Linked DNA regions of Arabidopsis thaliana. The protein of the gene in region 1 interacts with the protein of each later gene in a pairwise test. Each region holds a gene or a part of one and is shown on either strand. Other genes may lie near its edges.

Region 1 (6,144 bases):
TAGCTGGAAAAGATTTAGATTTCAAACAGAGACCGAAGATACGGACGGATTTGATCCTTCGGGGTTAATGATTCTTAAAAAAGGTAAAAACACTATATTGATCTTTTTCTGCATTGAGATTTGATCCATAACCCTTGTTTTGAATTCATTTTCCATTTATAATAATGGTTAGAACGAACCTGGCTCGAAGAAGGACAAAAAGTCGGCGAGCATGTTCTTCCATTAGCGAGGAACTTCAACGATGTTGACATTGAACCAGGAAGCAATTTCTCTGTAAGTAGTAAAACCCATAACATATAAAAGCGGAGCTCATAGTACTTGTTCCAAATTCTGACTATGATATTTGCAGGAAAATTCTTCTGTTGAAATGAAGATGTCGTCGAGCTATGACATAGACACACTAAAAGGAAGTTCATCAAAAGACGATATGTCCCGTAAATACGGATCAGCTAGAGAAGCAATCACTAACAAATATGCAGCCATTAGAGAACAACAGAACAAACACTCGCCATCTTCTATGACAAAGCCAGAGAACATGGCTTCAGCTAAAGTGTCCTTACTCGAAACAGACAATTCAGGTCCAAGTAACGGTCAAGGATCTGGAGAGCCATCTTCTCGTCTGGCTTCCACATGGCGAAACATGAAACTAGGAATCCAGAGTTTTAAAGAGAATGTAGCTACCAAGAAGTTTCTTCCATTAAGACAAAGCCCAGAAACAACAGCACTAACAAGCACAAGAGTAGTGACTTCATCAGTGCCACAGTCGCTAGATGAGATATTCCAGAGACTTAAAAACCGGTCTGTAGAACACAGCCCCTACCTCGATGATGATGATGAAGTTTGATTATGAAGATGGTGTTCATTAATGATGAAAATTTAAAAGAACTCCATTTTAACACCAGATTTGTTCACCATAGTATATAACAACAATTTTACAAAAAACATCTAATTTGGGAGTTGGAAGGGTCCATTTTTTGTGTTGTAGGTTTTTATATGTTACCTGTTAATGACATGTTATATACTTTTGGATTATATAATACGATATACATAAAGTACTCGGTTCATTTTAAAATCCGTGATGGATTCCATGTTAATACAGATATTAATATATTATAGATGTCTTATATGACAAGCCACTTATATAACACGTAAGTTTTTTTTTTTTTTTGGACAAAATAACACGTAAGTTAAGTCATGAAAAATATACTTTAAGATATGATCAAAAATACTGATTGGGTTTGTCAATCCCAGGAAACTTCATAGCTTTTTTGCTTCTTTGGTCAATATTCGACTAGTAACAAGTTCTTTAACAAGAAATAATAGCACTAATTGGTAGTTTTTTTTTGCCTTTCTAGCCAATATTAACAAAAAATAATATATTATAGATGTCTTATATGACAAGTCACTCATATAACACGTAAGTTAAGCCATGAAAAATATACTTTTAAGATATGATCAAAAATACTGATTGGTTGGTCAATCCCAGGAAACTTCATAGCTTTTTTGCTTCTTTGTTCAATATTCAACTTGTAACAAGTTCTTTTTTTTGTCAATCACAACTTGTAACAAGTTCTTTTTTTTGTCAATCACAACTTGTAACAAGTTCTTTAACAAAAATAATTTGTAGTGTTTTTTGCCTTTCTAGCCAATATTAATCTCCATTTTCATTAATGAGAAATCACTTTCATTATTTTCACCATTTTACTTTCTTAATCTGTAACTGTACACGTCAAAAATAAAAGTTTCAGGAAAAAAAGACTAAAGTCGGTCATTTAATAAACTCGTTGCCGTGAAGTAACAAACCCGCCGACGTCGGCGCCACCGCCTTTCCCTTTAAGATGAAGCAACTTAGTCCAAAACCCAGTCTTCTTCTTAACCGTCGTAGATTTCAATTTCTCCGTCTTCTTCTTCGTCAAATCCCTAACAATATAATCCTTGGGAACATGAGCCATAGATCTGCTTTTCATTAATCCTCCACCTAAAGCTTCGATCAGATTACCATTTAAAGCTTCCCTAACAGCGAAAGACATCGACATCGAACCAGCTCTCCGATGATCCTTCACCGCCGGAGACGACGGAGAAGACGAAACGGTGGTGGATGAAGAAGAAGAAGATCTGTGAACGATGTAATACGACGTAGTATTAGGTAATCGAGAGAGTTTATCTCTTAAACAACAAGGACAAACTCCTCTGTTGCCTTGGTGGTTGTGTTTTCTGCATTCCATTTTTCTATCTTCTTCGTTCTCTTTTTTTTCTTCTTCTTTTTACACTTTGATTTGCTCTCAAAGAGGTTTATGTATGTGTGGGTTATATATATACACACGCATGTGCACGTGTGAAGTATTGCCACGTGGGCTTCAACGTCGGTATAACCAAAGAAAGGTCATTAAGGTTTCGCTATGTTGACAGGGCTTTTCGTAGAAGACGCAGTTATGACGTGTAAAGGACCACTTATATAAAAAAATTAGTCAAATTACTGTTTCTCTTTTCTTTTTACGTTATTAAAAGTGATTGGTTTTTTGCTTTTGATCAATTAAAGAACATAATTTAGAAAATGATTGTTTTATTTTTTTGTCAAACTTAAGAAAATGATTGTTATCTTTATACTGAAAATATCTGAGGAAAAAAATCTAAACAACTGATATTTGTCATATAATGATATTTTTGTAAAGAAAATCTTAATTGATAAAAATCTATATTATTTTATACTAAATGTATGAAAAATATCAATAGATTTGGAATTTAATTTAGTATCTATATAATTTTGGATTTACTTACTTTTTAGTTTTATTTTTATTTCTTAACTTATACAGTTTCATATTTACTTATTTTTAGTTTTCATTTAAAAGAAATTTACAGCTGTTTGCTTTTCTTTTTTCCAAATTTTTTTAAAACAAATCTAACCGGAAGATCCATAGATTTTTGTTATTTAGCAAACAAAAATGTCCCTAGATTCTATGTACAGTTAGTTAACGAAGATTATATGATGGGTGATGTAAGTGAGAGAAGTCACAGGCCGTGACACTAATAACAACTCAATTTTGGTTTCACAATTTCCCGATTCAGACGCGAAATAGGGTCAACAAAAGAAACGCAAATTAAAAGCGTTGATAGCGATGGACGGTTGGGATTTAAACAAACACTCAACATGCTACGGAGCCCACTTGTTAGGTATCATCTGACGGTGACCGTTGGCCGGTGGACTCGGGACTCGCTTCTAACGCGTACCAAATAATAATAAAACACACTCGTGCGCATTCATTTTTTTACTATCTCATAGTATTTTCTTAATTTACGTGACTTTTGATTTTCTGTATATTAATAGTTTCAGTTTTGTTTCTTGAAGAATGGTGCGCCGTATGCTTTCAATTTCGTGTGCACGTGAGAGTGTAGTCAAAAAGAACGACCAAAATTTATGGGAAAACGAAGTTATTGAGAAGAAAATCTAGAAGTTTGTACGGTTCATGATCGTGGGAATGAGTGATGGGATCAGATTACAAAGTAGATCCTCTTGTTTTATAACTTAATTCGGATAAACACTATTTATTCCATGAACCTTTCTTGACATTTAATGATTTACCAATTTTTTTTATTAATATAGTATCTTAAAACATGTTCTATGGACCTCGTGGTGTTGACGAAGCACCAAAAAAATCAATTATAATCTGGTAAAGCCACTTCACTTTTCACGTTAATGTTTCTACGTACATATATTAAATATATAATAAAAGTGATTGTGTTGATAAAAGATGGAATTATATAAGATCTTATGATATACGGAGCAAGTATAATACATTAGTGTTGTGACTTGTAATAGTGATGGGACATGGAAATTACTAAATTAGGCCTTTTGGATAACAGAAGAGGGAGAACATGACGATAATAATAAAAAGAGGGTGAACATAGCTCAAAACCAAGTTAGGCCTTTTGGATAACAGAAGGAGGCCCAAAGAAGCCCAAGTAAATAAAAACAATGCAAAAAGAAATATTGGGGTGAGAGAGGCTCGAACTCTCGACCTCAGGATCACTCACTAGCTATGAGACCTACGCGCTAGCCAACTGCGCCACCACCCCAATGTTGTTGAGTACCGTAATATTATGTATTTTTTACCCCTATTTTCCATAAAAACTGAAACGACCCTTAAGGTACTACTTCTCGCACAGATAAAAGGTACCAAAATTATACACAAGTTTCTAGTATTGTTCAAACGAGATACTTTATGAGTTCCCTTAGATATTATGCATTAAATATCACTTAATTTCACCTTTTAGGGTTAGTTATCCACTTCGTCTGAAATGGACCAACTTGTTACACATTAAATCACACTGTCACATGGAGAACAGCAAGCGACTATTCGAAGATAATGTATGGGTTAAGTCTCTAGTATCTAGACGGGTAAACATGTGGTCTAGTTTTTTCTTCCTTATGCCTCTAACAGTAAGCTGAAAGCGACAAAAATCACATTTAATATATGCAAGCAATTTATGGGACCTGAATTATTCAGCCCTAAATTAAAAAGCACACTAATAAATTACTTGTTTATTACTCAATGATGATCAGTTGTATTTCAAACCAACTCATGATGGTTTAGCTGTTGAGAAATTCACTACAAAATCAAGAGTTCATAGTTTTGAAGCGTATAATTGCAGTTTTGAATGTTTTAATCACAAAGATATCATCCTCATATAGACTTTGATAATTCGTTTATCGTTTGGCTCAAAATTCCATGATTTTGTAAGAAGAAGAAAAAACCAACTATCTTCAATTATCACAAATGTTTTATTTACGGGATCATTTTCGAGCTAGTTCCATATAGCAGCTGCATATTATTTCGGAATTTTACTTTTAGATGCAATCTGAGCCGAGCTGAAATGATTGAGCCGGTGGATCAAAGACCAATTTGGATTAGCGGAGCGCGTGAACTCACAGAGTCTTCTTTATAACTCCGAGGCATATGGAAAGGTTAGTGGTGCTTACGTGGGAGTCAAATTTGGCTGATGGGTGAATCTTGGGTCCCTCTTGGTGACCATGACAAAAGCCAAGCTTGTTTCTTTGTGGAGAGCCCTACAACGTTCCGTTATGGGAGATTTTAGTTTTTATAATTTGCTTGCTAATTGTACACAAACAAAATTACTATTATTTCATGATTTTTCCTTAATTAGATGCTTAAGTTTTGCAACTTCAAAAGAATGGATTATTTGACTACGATTTCAAAATTAACTTTGGAAATCGCCTTCTTGATAACAAATATTTGTGAAATTACATTTCCACATACAAGTTCTTTAACCCAAAGTCCATCACAAATTCAACAAAAATAAAACAAAAACAAAATGGGACATATAACCGGATGATATAACTGACTGGAATTTCCAATTTCACGGAAATGATCGTCAAACAATATTAAATTTCCGGTTACTCCAGCTTTCCGATTAATATAAAAAGTTTATCATGTACTGTATTATACAGTATTATATTTTAAAATAAAAATGTCGAAACAGCATATATCCTATGGGTATAAGTGCACATGCATGGTTGGGAACTTGGGCAGCATCAAGTTGGCATTACACAGAATTCTCGACCAAAATCAGAATCTCTCCTTCTTTATATTTTCTTTTTTTTTAATCTTGTATATGTTTTAAAATCATAATACCAGAACCATAACCTTTATTTAGGAAACGAAAAGACGAGTTATATCTGCTTCAGCAGCAGATTGTCATTAAGAATGTCTATCCTTAAGAAGAACTATAATACTGATTTGTGAGCAAAATGAAACAAACACTAGAGCAAAACTCACTTTTAATATTAAATTTTCTGATCTTTTATTATTCTGTGATACTTGATTATATAATTAACTACACTTACTTTAAGAAAAAGTATAATTACTACGTAAACAGTAACATCGCATAGAGCTAGAAATATACAATTATATCTTATATATACGTGAGACGGACAATAAAGTACGCTTAGGTAAAGATAATTGGCGTATCAAAGTTCAAAGCTATAAAGGGATATATAATATTATTAATAATCACAATTTGCAGATAAATTTCCAATTAAAAACCAGTTAAGTGGTGATATTTTTTATTTATTAACTTTAGTCTTTAGGTCGTTTTAATAGATGATAAATATATCATATATGCTTA
Region 2 (9,212 bases), on another chromosome or scaffold:
ATCCAGGAACTGTTCCTTTTCAATGGGAACATAAGCCTGGAAAGCCAAAAGACGAAAGGAAACCGGTTTTGCAAAGTTTTGTAGAGCCACATTTTGTGCCAAAGCTTCCTCCTGGTAGAGAGCGAGTAGTAGAGTTAGGGAGGAAACCTGAAAGTACTGGAGCTGATCACCAGACCAAAACTGTATCGTCTTCGGATAAATATCTTGTGGAGGATGCAAAGAGTAATAGTTCTCGGTATGATGATGATGATGATGATAGTGATGGTACTTATCTTGATGCAACTGATACACTTTCAAGAACTGAGTCATTCTTCTTTAACTGTAGTGCTGTTAGTGGTGCGAGTGGTTTGGATGGTTCAGGGATACTAGTAGAGCCATTTGGAACTTTATCGACTGATCGACAAACTCAGGATCTAATGATGGGGAGATTCTTGCCTGCAGCTAAAGCTTTGACTTCAGAATCACCTCCACATCTTGCTAGGAAACCACCTAAACCAGAAGAACCGGTGAAGCAGTTGATGAAGAAGAAACAGAACAAAGTGGAGCAAAATCCGTATCGGTTTCGTCATTCGCCTGATCAAGAAGAGGAAGATGGAAATATAAGCAGCATGATGGCGTCTGGTGTTTGTGGATTACTCCCTCAACTCTGCTTGAGAAGCTCTTTGGGACTATTGAATCCGGTTCCATCTGTGAGAATGCAGCAACAAAGAGCTGTTTCTGTTCGTCGTATGCGGTCTAAGTACCAAGATTCTGCACCTTCTAATGAAACTCATAACAAGGTAATTGATTCCCTCTCCTTCTCGCCACCTCGTTCATCATTACACTGAGACCTTTTCTCTCATCAAATTTCTTTTATATTTTTCTCTCTATAGCAAAATGAAGATAAGAGGAAGTTGAAGCTAATTGAATCAGTTGCAAAAGGGTCTTCTCAAGGTGAGTCATTATCAGTATCTTCTATACCACAAGGAAAAGAGAAACTCGAGAACGTTGGCACCGCTTCACGCAGTAAAATCAGTAAAAACTTTGGTGAGCTCTTGGCTAGTGATGAGAATACATGGGAACCTTCATCCGAGACTCCTGTGGCAGAGAAAACTCTGTATGTAGACATTGTGCATCTAGTAGATAAGAAGGTACAAGAAGAGTCCAAGAAGCAGCCTATATTGAAAGAGTCTCCTTCACTAGACATTGTTCCTGTAAAAGATGAAGAAGCTGATATCTCGCAGCCTAAAAGCATTGAGCAAGAGAATGGTAACAGAGATGAGGATTTCACTAAATTCTCAAGTCAGAAAGTTGAAGAATGTCCTGATCATCAAGCTATTGTTGCACTGCCAGAATCCGATGTGGTAGAGATTACAAAGGAGAAGAAGATTGATCTTGAAGTTCAGTTGCAAGTAATCACAACAAATATTGAAAGTTCAAGGCTTCATCATCGTTCAAGTTATCTCATTGTTCCTCCACCACCATTACCAAAAGCTCCTTCAGATTCTTGGTTAAAGCGTACATTACCAACAATACCACCAAAAAACAACTCATTCGCATGGTTACAGTCTCTTGGCACTGATGATGATAATCACTTTACCAAGACTCAAGCTAATCCAAAGTGGGAAACTATGGTCAAAACGTCCAATACACAGCAAGGGTTTGTGTGCTTCTCCAAGGTAAAAAAAAAAAAAAGAAACGTCCAATACTTTCACAAATGTGTCTTAATTTTCAAAGTCAATGCTTGGCAAAATGTGTTAATACTTGTTGATCCTGTTTTGTTCTTTCAGGAAACACTAAACCCTATACCAGAGTCATAGCAAGACCAAAACAAAATTCTCACTGGTGGTAATGAAGAAACTGTAAAATTTTTCACACCAAATTACATGTAAATTTTCAACAATAAAGAAGGGATGAGCCAATAAAGTTTGGGTATTTTGTCTTTAACTATTTGTGTAAATCTGAATCAAAAAGATTCCATGATAAAGAGAAAGCAATGGAGATAAATGTCTTAAATATTGTCTGGCACTTAAGGAGAGGTTTCTTGTTGAAGTGATGTACAGCTCATGTTAACGGAGATTTCATGGCAATAATTCCATGTGACACTGCTTCTTTATTCTCTACTAATAGACTTTTTTTTTTCGTTCTTTTGTAATTATGGTTTCAAAATATAGAGCTCACTAGAAAGGAAACTTGAAAGCTGCAGAATTGAATTGAATTGAATACCTTGACTAAATTAGTCACTAGAGGAATTATTGAAACAATATTGGTGTGAAAATGTTCACATTTCATCTCTTATTCTCTTTATATATATAGTGGCATGGAAGATCACATGCAAATATATGAGTGAAGAGAAATTTAAAAAACAATATAGAGAGAGAGTGAGAGGTTTCTTTATCAGTTAGTTTGACATGAAAGAAGCTGCTGCTTTTGGGGGTGTTTTGTTCTTGATTTTCATGTTTCTTCTGTCGTTGTTACTTGTAACCATGGCCGTATTTGCTTGCTCCAAAAAGAAGGAAAAGAAGAAGGATTCAAGTTGCTGTTGCTGCTGTAAAGGTGGCGTTTTTGGCGGTTGCAGTGGTGATGGTGGTGGAGGAGGAGGGGGTTGCTAGATAAGTAGATATATCACTTGGGTACTGTTTCCGTACGTATTTGAATTTATGACCAATTTGCTTAGAACATCTAGGCATTACCTAAAGAACAACATGTGCCTAATCTTATTATCGTTATGCTAAAGTAAAATCAAATATCTATTTGATATTAGTATGATCGGATCCGATTCTTGCATCATCCTACTATCAGTTTCATTCTACTTTAATAGTTCCATCGTTTGTATTTTTTCTGCACAAACTAATCATCTTAATGAATAATTTTATCACCATATCATGTTAAAAGAAAATTTCGACGTAAATATATCATGTCATGATGTATACAAGAGAAAAATATATCTCAATCATAGTTTTTGTATGTATATATTTTAACATTGTTTTGATGTTATTTGTCCATAGTGTTGGTCGTTGGAATCCAAATAGCGAGTTATTATTAAACAAAATGTTCCAAGAAATTGATTATGATCGTCATTCGTCCATGTGCTAAGTCCACTCCCCTTATTCTAAGACTTTTATCCATCCTTTAAATTGGACCAAATATTAAAAGTCAAATATGTAGCCATCTGGCTCCAGAGAACACCAATTTTTTTTCTAAAATGACAAAAACTTAGAAGATTCAAGATTCAGAAAACACATACGTAACGTAAGCCAATATTTTTCCATTCAAAGAGTTTACCGATAGCGAATAAAAACTGTTAAAAAAACTAGAATGAATACTGTAAACAATTTATATTAGTAGATAGATTAAAGAGTTTTTAAAATTGTGGTAAAACTCCAAAACAACTATTAATCTGAAAGAGAGTAGTTGTTGTTAGTTTACCCAAATTATCTGATTGTGTGAATGTAGTAATCTCCACAATAAATTGCATTATGGTATTATTACGGAGTTATCAGACTTTTCACTTCACCAATCACTGTGCTTATTAAATAATGACTACTTAATAAACAGATTAGTGTTTCATTGGAGCGTAAGAATCACGCGCTAAACTTACGCGTGGGTTTCCTCTTTATCTTTAAAAATTTTCTCAAGTTTAGACAGAACACCAGGTAATAGAGAGAGAACAAAATAGTCTTTACTCTTTCAGTGAGAGAGAGAAGTTAGAGCTGTAAAAGCACATGACTTCGATACCATTGGGGCCTCCTCAGCCTCCGTCTTTAGCTCCTCAGCCGCCGCATCTTCACGGCGGAGATTCTTTGAAACGTCGTCCCGATATAGACAACGACAAGGTTAGTTTTTTCTTCTCTTATAACTTGAAACGTTTGTGTGTATCTCTCTCTCTCTCTCTCTCTCTCTCTCTCTCTCTCTCTCTCTCTCTCTCTCTCTGATTGATTCTTTCGTGAACAATGTATTTCAATTTTCGTTTTGTGGGTTTTCTAGATCTAGCTCGGATTTTGCTTGTTTCGATGTGTTAGTCAATCGATCTGTGTTCCTTTTTAGTCAGCGTTCTTGATTTGAGCTCATTGAAGATTGTGCATTTTGACTTCATAGTAGCTAGTTTTACTTTTCTTCAGCTGAAATTTTCAACCTTTTTTGTAGTGAAGATTGATCTCTTGAGCTGTTTTTGATTAGTAGCAGTAAACCTTCGAACCCTAAAGAAGAAATTAGGGTAAATAACAGAAATTTTCTAGTAATAACCCTTTGAACCCTAAAGAAGTAACCTCATAGTTTGGGTGTTAAATTTAACACTTTTGACTTCACAAAGTACTTGTGTATCTTCGAGTTTTTTTTCTTCTTTTTCCTGACAGTTTTTGGAGTATTCGTTTAGATTATATGATTCTTGGCCCATTCTGTATTGATTCTGAACTCTTTTCTTTTGTTTTATGTTCTTTTGCTTTGTTTCTCCACCTGACAGTGTCTGTTCCATGTTGTGTCTGATTGTATCTTTTGATTTTGTACAAGTTTCTTATGTCCACAAAATGGTTGACATCTTAATCTTTCTCTACTCTTGAAGTTACAGTTATCATTTTTTAGCTTTCCTTTACCTGTAACAACTAGTATAGTAGTATGCATTTGTTTTCTGAATTTTGTTAGCCTCTGGTCAACAGGAACTTGCGACATCATTTAGATTTACATTTAGTTATCTTACATGATTGAATTCTCTGTAAATTGGGCATTGACTGTTCTTAGATTTGAATGCTATTTTAAAGGAAAGTTTATATTCTGGAAGATTTCATACACTTGATAGAACTGATTGAAAAACGATTCGAATATTTTGAATTATTTGTCTATTCAATCAATATACATCGGAGGAAACACTAATTGTTACTACTTTCCTTCATTCTTTGTAGACAAGAATAGTTTTAACTCCTGTAATAATATGTTCACGTTTGATTTTAGGAAATGTCTGCTGCTGTTATAGAAGGAAATGATGCTGTTACCGGTCACATAATTTCTACTACAATTGGAGGCAAAAATGGTGAACCTAAACAGGTTGGATTCTGTTGTTTATTAAATCTTTGTAATGATTTAAATCATAGTTATTGCTCGAGCACACTACCATGTATAAGGTTACCTAAGGTTTGGATTAATCTATAGAAATTCAACAAATAAATAAATAGGTTTTTACATCTTTTGACTTTGTGGCTCCTTTTTTCCAACTCTAAGTTCTACTCTCTAATGTTTTCATCCCTCTGGCCTTTACAGACCATTAGTTACATGGCCGAACGTGTTGTTGGAACAGGATCATTCGGAATTGTATTCCAGGTATCATTGTGCTTGTCACTGTCTACAGGCAAATGGCTTTTTGTCTTTCCTTTCTGATCAGATTGTTAACTTACCATTCTAGGCAAAATGCTTGGAAACTGGAGAATCAGTAGCCATTAAGAAGGTTTTGCAAGATCGCCGTTATAAAAACCGAGAGTTGCAATTAATGCGACTAATGGACCATCCAAATGTGGTTTCCTTGAAGCATTGTTTCTTCTCTACAACGACTAGAGATGAGCTCTTCCTCAATCTCGTTATGGAGTATGTACCAGAGACATTGTACCGGGTTTTGAAGCACTATACTAGTTCAAACCAGCGGATGCCTATCTTCTATGTCAAACTTTACACATACCAAGTATGCATTGTTATCTACTCTTTCCCCAATAAATACTCTTTACTCTGTTGTGTTTATCCTAAAACTGTTTATAAAATATGTTGTGCAGATCTTCAGAGGCTTGGCTTATATCCATACTGCTCCTGGTGTCTGCCACAGAGATGTGAAACCACAAAATCTTTTGGTACGTTGATCTATTGTGGGTTTTGTCTTTGGTAACCTTGACTAGATTGTAATCTTATTCTCTGTATGTTCTGTAGGTTGATCCCCTCACCCATCAGTGTAAGCTCTGTGATTTTGGAAGTGCAAAAGTACTGGTAAGAGGTTTAGACTTTTATTTACCCCATTTGTTGTTTGTCTTTTCCACTGTGCTTGTGTCTTTGCATGCAGTAGTTAAAAACTCCAATTAAGTGAATATTATGCAAGTAATTTACATAAGTATGGATGCAGTTTCAGATATTTCTCTGTTAGCCTGATATTTGCAACATTTGGCTTTTTATATTAGGTGAAAGGTGAAGCAAACATATCATATATCTGCTCTCGGTATTACCGAGCTCCAGAACTCATCTTTGGTGCCACAGAGTATACATCATCCATTGATATATGGTCTGCTGGTTGTGTTCTGGCAGAGCTACTTCTTGGGCAGGTTAGTGTAAATTTCTAACCTGTTGAGTATCTTGAGAACTAAAGCATCTCTCCAAAATCTTCTGTAAACAATGTGGTATTATTTATCTTCACAGCCGTTATTCCCGGGAGAAAATTCTGTGGACCAGCTAGTGGAGATCATAAAGGTGAACTCTTCTTTTATTATATTTTGTTTTGGCGTCATTTCCTGTCTGTGCTCATGATGTGCTGTGTTGGTTTAGGTTCTTGGTACTCCAACTCGCGAAGAAATCCGGTGCATGAACCCAAACTACACAGACTTCAGATTCCCACAAATCAAAGCCCACCCTTGGCATAAGGTAATATATATATATGCATGTCACTTTCGAACTTCTTTCTAATCATACAATTGCTTACTTCTCTACCTAAACAACATTCATGGAAAAGAAGCTAACACGGTGCACAACTGCTCTATGACCTCCAGGTTTTCCACAAGCGGATGCCTCCGGAAGCCATTGACCTTGCATCTCGGCTTCTTCAATACTCACCAAGTCTACGTTGCACTGCGGTTGGTATTTCTAAACCAAGTACTCTTAATTGTTACAGTGGTTCTCTCTGGCTTCTTTGGACCATACACTGTTCAATGAAGGAGTGAAATGTTGTTTTTCAACTGACTTGTTTGTTTGCCGTCTGAAGCTCGAGGCATGTGCGCATCCGTTTTTCAATGAACTCCGTGAGCCAAATGCTCGTCTTCCAAATGGCCGACCTCTACCACCGTTGTTCAACTTCAAACAAGAGGTATGTTAAACCATTCCAAAATCACTTTTCCTTCAACCAAACATAACTGAATGTGCATACAGTTACTCAATCTGTTAGCTCTCTCTTTGACTATTGAAACAGTTGTCTGGGGCTTCACCGGAGCTTATCAACAGGCTAATACCAGAGCATGTGAGGCGACAGATGAATGGTGGCTTTCCATTTCAAGCTGGACCCTAGAAAAGCGATCTCGAGATGCTTTTCCAGAGCAAAATGCCGCCTTATGGAATGAAGGAGAGGGAGATTTACTTCTCTCTGATTAACTAAGTATCAGCTTCTGAGAAGAGATGATGTCTCCTCCTTAGACGTGGCCAATTCAGCTTTTTGAGAAATCAGGAGGCGATGATTGTGTCCTATTATATTCTTTTTGTTCACTGACTTGTAGAGAGATACTTTTCTCCTGTATCAGTATTTGTATATGTTTTTGTCCTTGAAATGAAACAAAATCGATTCCAAACTGCAAGTCAAATAACCGAAATGATGAAATGAAATCATGATAATCTAAAGTTGCCTACGGTAAAAGTAAAAACTAAAAACATTTGAAATCAATGAGCTTGAGGATAAAATTTTGCCAGCATTGGCATTGTAACGTTGAAAGGAAACAAGCACAAAAAGAGCAATTGAGAAGAAAGAAAACAATCCGAATTTTGTATATCCAAAAATCCATCGTTTAGGCTTTGCTTTTATTGCCCAGCTAACGAAAAAATGCGCTAATAAATTACTGTTTATGGGTAAACTTTCAGTTCCCACAAAACCAATTGCAGAAGTACAAATCTAGCCTCCTGTCTTATTGACTCTTCAAACAAAATTTGTATGTTTGGCTGAAACATGTAAGTAAATGATTTAAGATGACTTGGTGACTTCATGTATAGCATTCGCAAGGTATCCCACGTTTCCTGTTGTAACACCAGCCATACTGCAACCAAACATCAAGAGCCTCAATGATTAGGAAATGGCTTGCATTGAAATTAAGCATGTTGATGTTAGGAAATGGATTGCATTGAATGTGAGCTGAAAGATTTCTAATCAGGAGAAAGTGAAGTACCTGATACGGCCGTTACGGGTCATATAGATGTGATATTCGCTTGTTAAGCGGTCAACCTGTTCTGGTGTTAACCCACTGTAGCAGAACATTCCAATCTGTTATCACCATAAAGATATGACTGTGTGAGTCAAAGGAGAGAAATAACAAGAATTTCACAAAAGAAGCCTATTTTGTTGTTGTAGTTACCTGTTTGGTAACGTGCTCCCATGACAAAGGCGATCCTAACTTCTCAAGGCTTTCTCGCAAAGTAGTTCTCATGCCGATGATCCTATCAGCCATGACCTGTTACAGATTTTACATATGGCTTATCAGATTTTAATTCCATAGTTGATTACTAAACATAAAAGAGTGAACATGGGATATAAGGTAATTGAATGAAAGAATTAGCATTTTTTCATAAATGTTACCTTAACTTCTTTTAGCCACAGACTCTTTAACTCTGGGTCTTCAAGAATGGTTGAGACCAGCTGAGCACCATGCAAAGGTGGGTTGCTGTACATTGGTCTAGCTAGCTGCTGCAATTGACTTTTCACAGCCACGGCTTGCTTCGGATCTTCACAAAGCACACTGCAGTAGAAGACAAAGTTGTCATGTTCATATTCAGTTTTTACTTCATCACTAAATGAACCTGTATGATGGCTATTTCATACAATTTGTTGACGCCTACAATCCAAATTTTTAAAATGCTGATATCTGTACTTTCTAATTTCCATATTTTCCTTCGTGTAGGAAGAAAACGATGTTCTTTGTTGAGAAAAATGAATACCTGAGACATCCCACCCTCTGGCCGTAGAGTCCCATGTTTTTTGCATAGGACTGAGAAATTCCAATATGATGACCATCTTCAAGAAAGATCCTGATGGACTTGGCATCTCTCGCTGGATCTCCACTAGCAAAACCTTGGTAAGCCATATCGAAGAATGCGAAATGCTTTTTAGCCTGAAATGAGAACTCGATGTTAGTCTGCAGAGGGCTGATCAAGGAGAAATAAAGTCAATGATAGACAGATAACTATAAGAAACTGATGAGTTATCACCTTGAATAGCTGTGATATCTCTCTCCATTGTTCCTCTGTAGGGTCTACTCCAGTAGGATTATGAGCACAAGCATGAAGAAGGAAGA

Evidence for each region.
Region 2: the proteins of AT5G65300 (region 1) and SKdZeta interact in a two-hybrid assay, tested with the Arabidopsis thaliana proteins (one large-scale study listed by BioGRID).

The regions. Positions count from the first base shown.
Region 1 is NC_003076.8:26,093,494-26,099,637, forward strand, and holds AT5G65300 (uncharacterized protein), read right to left. Parts: upstream 2,622-6,144; 5' UTR 2,226-2,621; coding exon 1,773-2,225; 3' UTR 1,650-1,772; downstream 1-1,649. Other genes in the region: AT5G65290 (LMBR1-like membrane protein), read left to right, coding at 1-83, 173-273, 350-844.
Region 2 is NC_003071.7:13,180,363-13,189,574, reverse strand, and holds SKdZeta (SHAGGY-related protein kinase dZeta), read left to right. Parts: upstream 1-3,601; 5' UTR 3,602-3,704; coding exon 3,705-3,815; intron 3,816-4,926; coding exon 4,927-5,019; intron 5,020-5,232; coding exon 5,233-5,292; intron 5,293-5,374; coding exon 5,375-5,647; intron 5,648-5,735; coding exon 5,736-5,810; intron 5,811-5,886; coding exon 5,887-5,943; intron 5,944-6,131; coding exon 6,132-6,272; intron 6,273-6,366; coding exon 6,367-6,417; intron 6,418-6,492; coding exon 6,493-6,588; intron 6,589-6,713; coding exon 6,714-6,797; intron 6,798-6,925; coding exon 6,926-7,027; intron 7,028-7,129; coding exon 7,130-7,225; 3' UTR 7,226-7,550; downstream 7,551-9,212. Other genes in the region: AT2G30990 (arginine N-methyltransferase, putative (DUF688)), read left to right, coding at 1-779, 873-1,658, 1,770-1,799; AT2G30985 (uncharacterized protein), read right to left, coding at 2,511-2,669; ASP1 (aspartate aminotransferase 1), read right to left, coding at 7,889-7,961, 8,091-8,185, 8,277-8,372, 8,498-8,657, 8,857-9,029, 9,127-9,212. UniProt on the Arabidopsis thaliana protein: May mediate extracellular signals to regulate transcription in differentiating cells.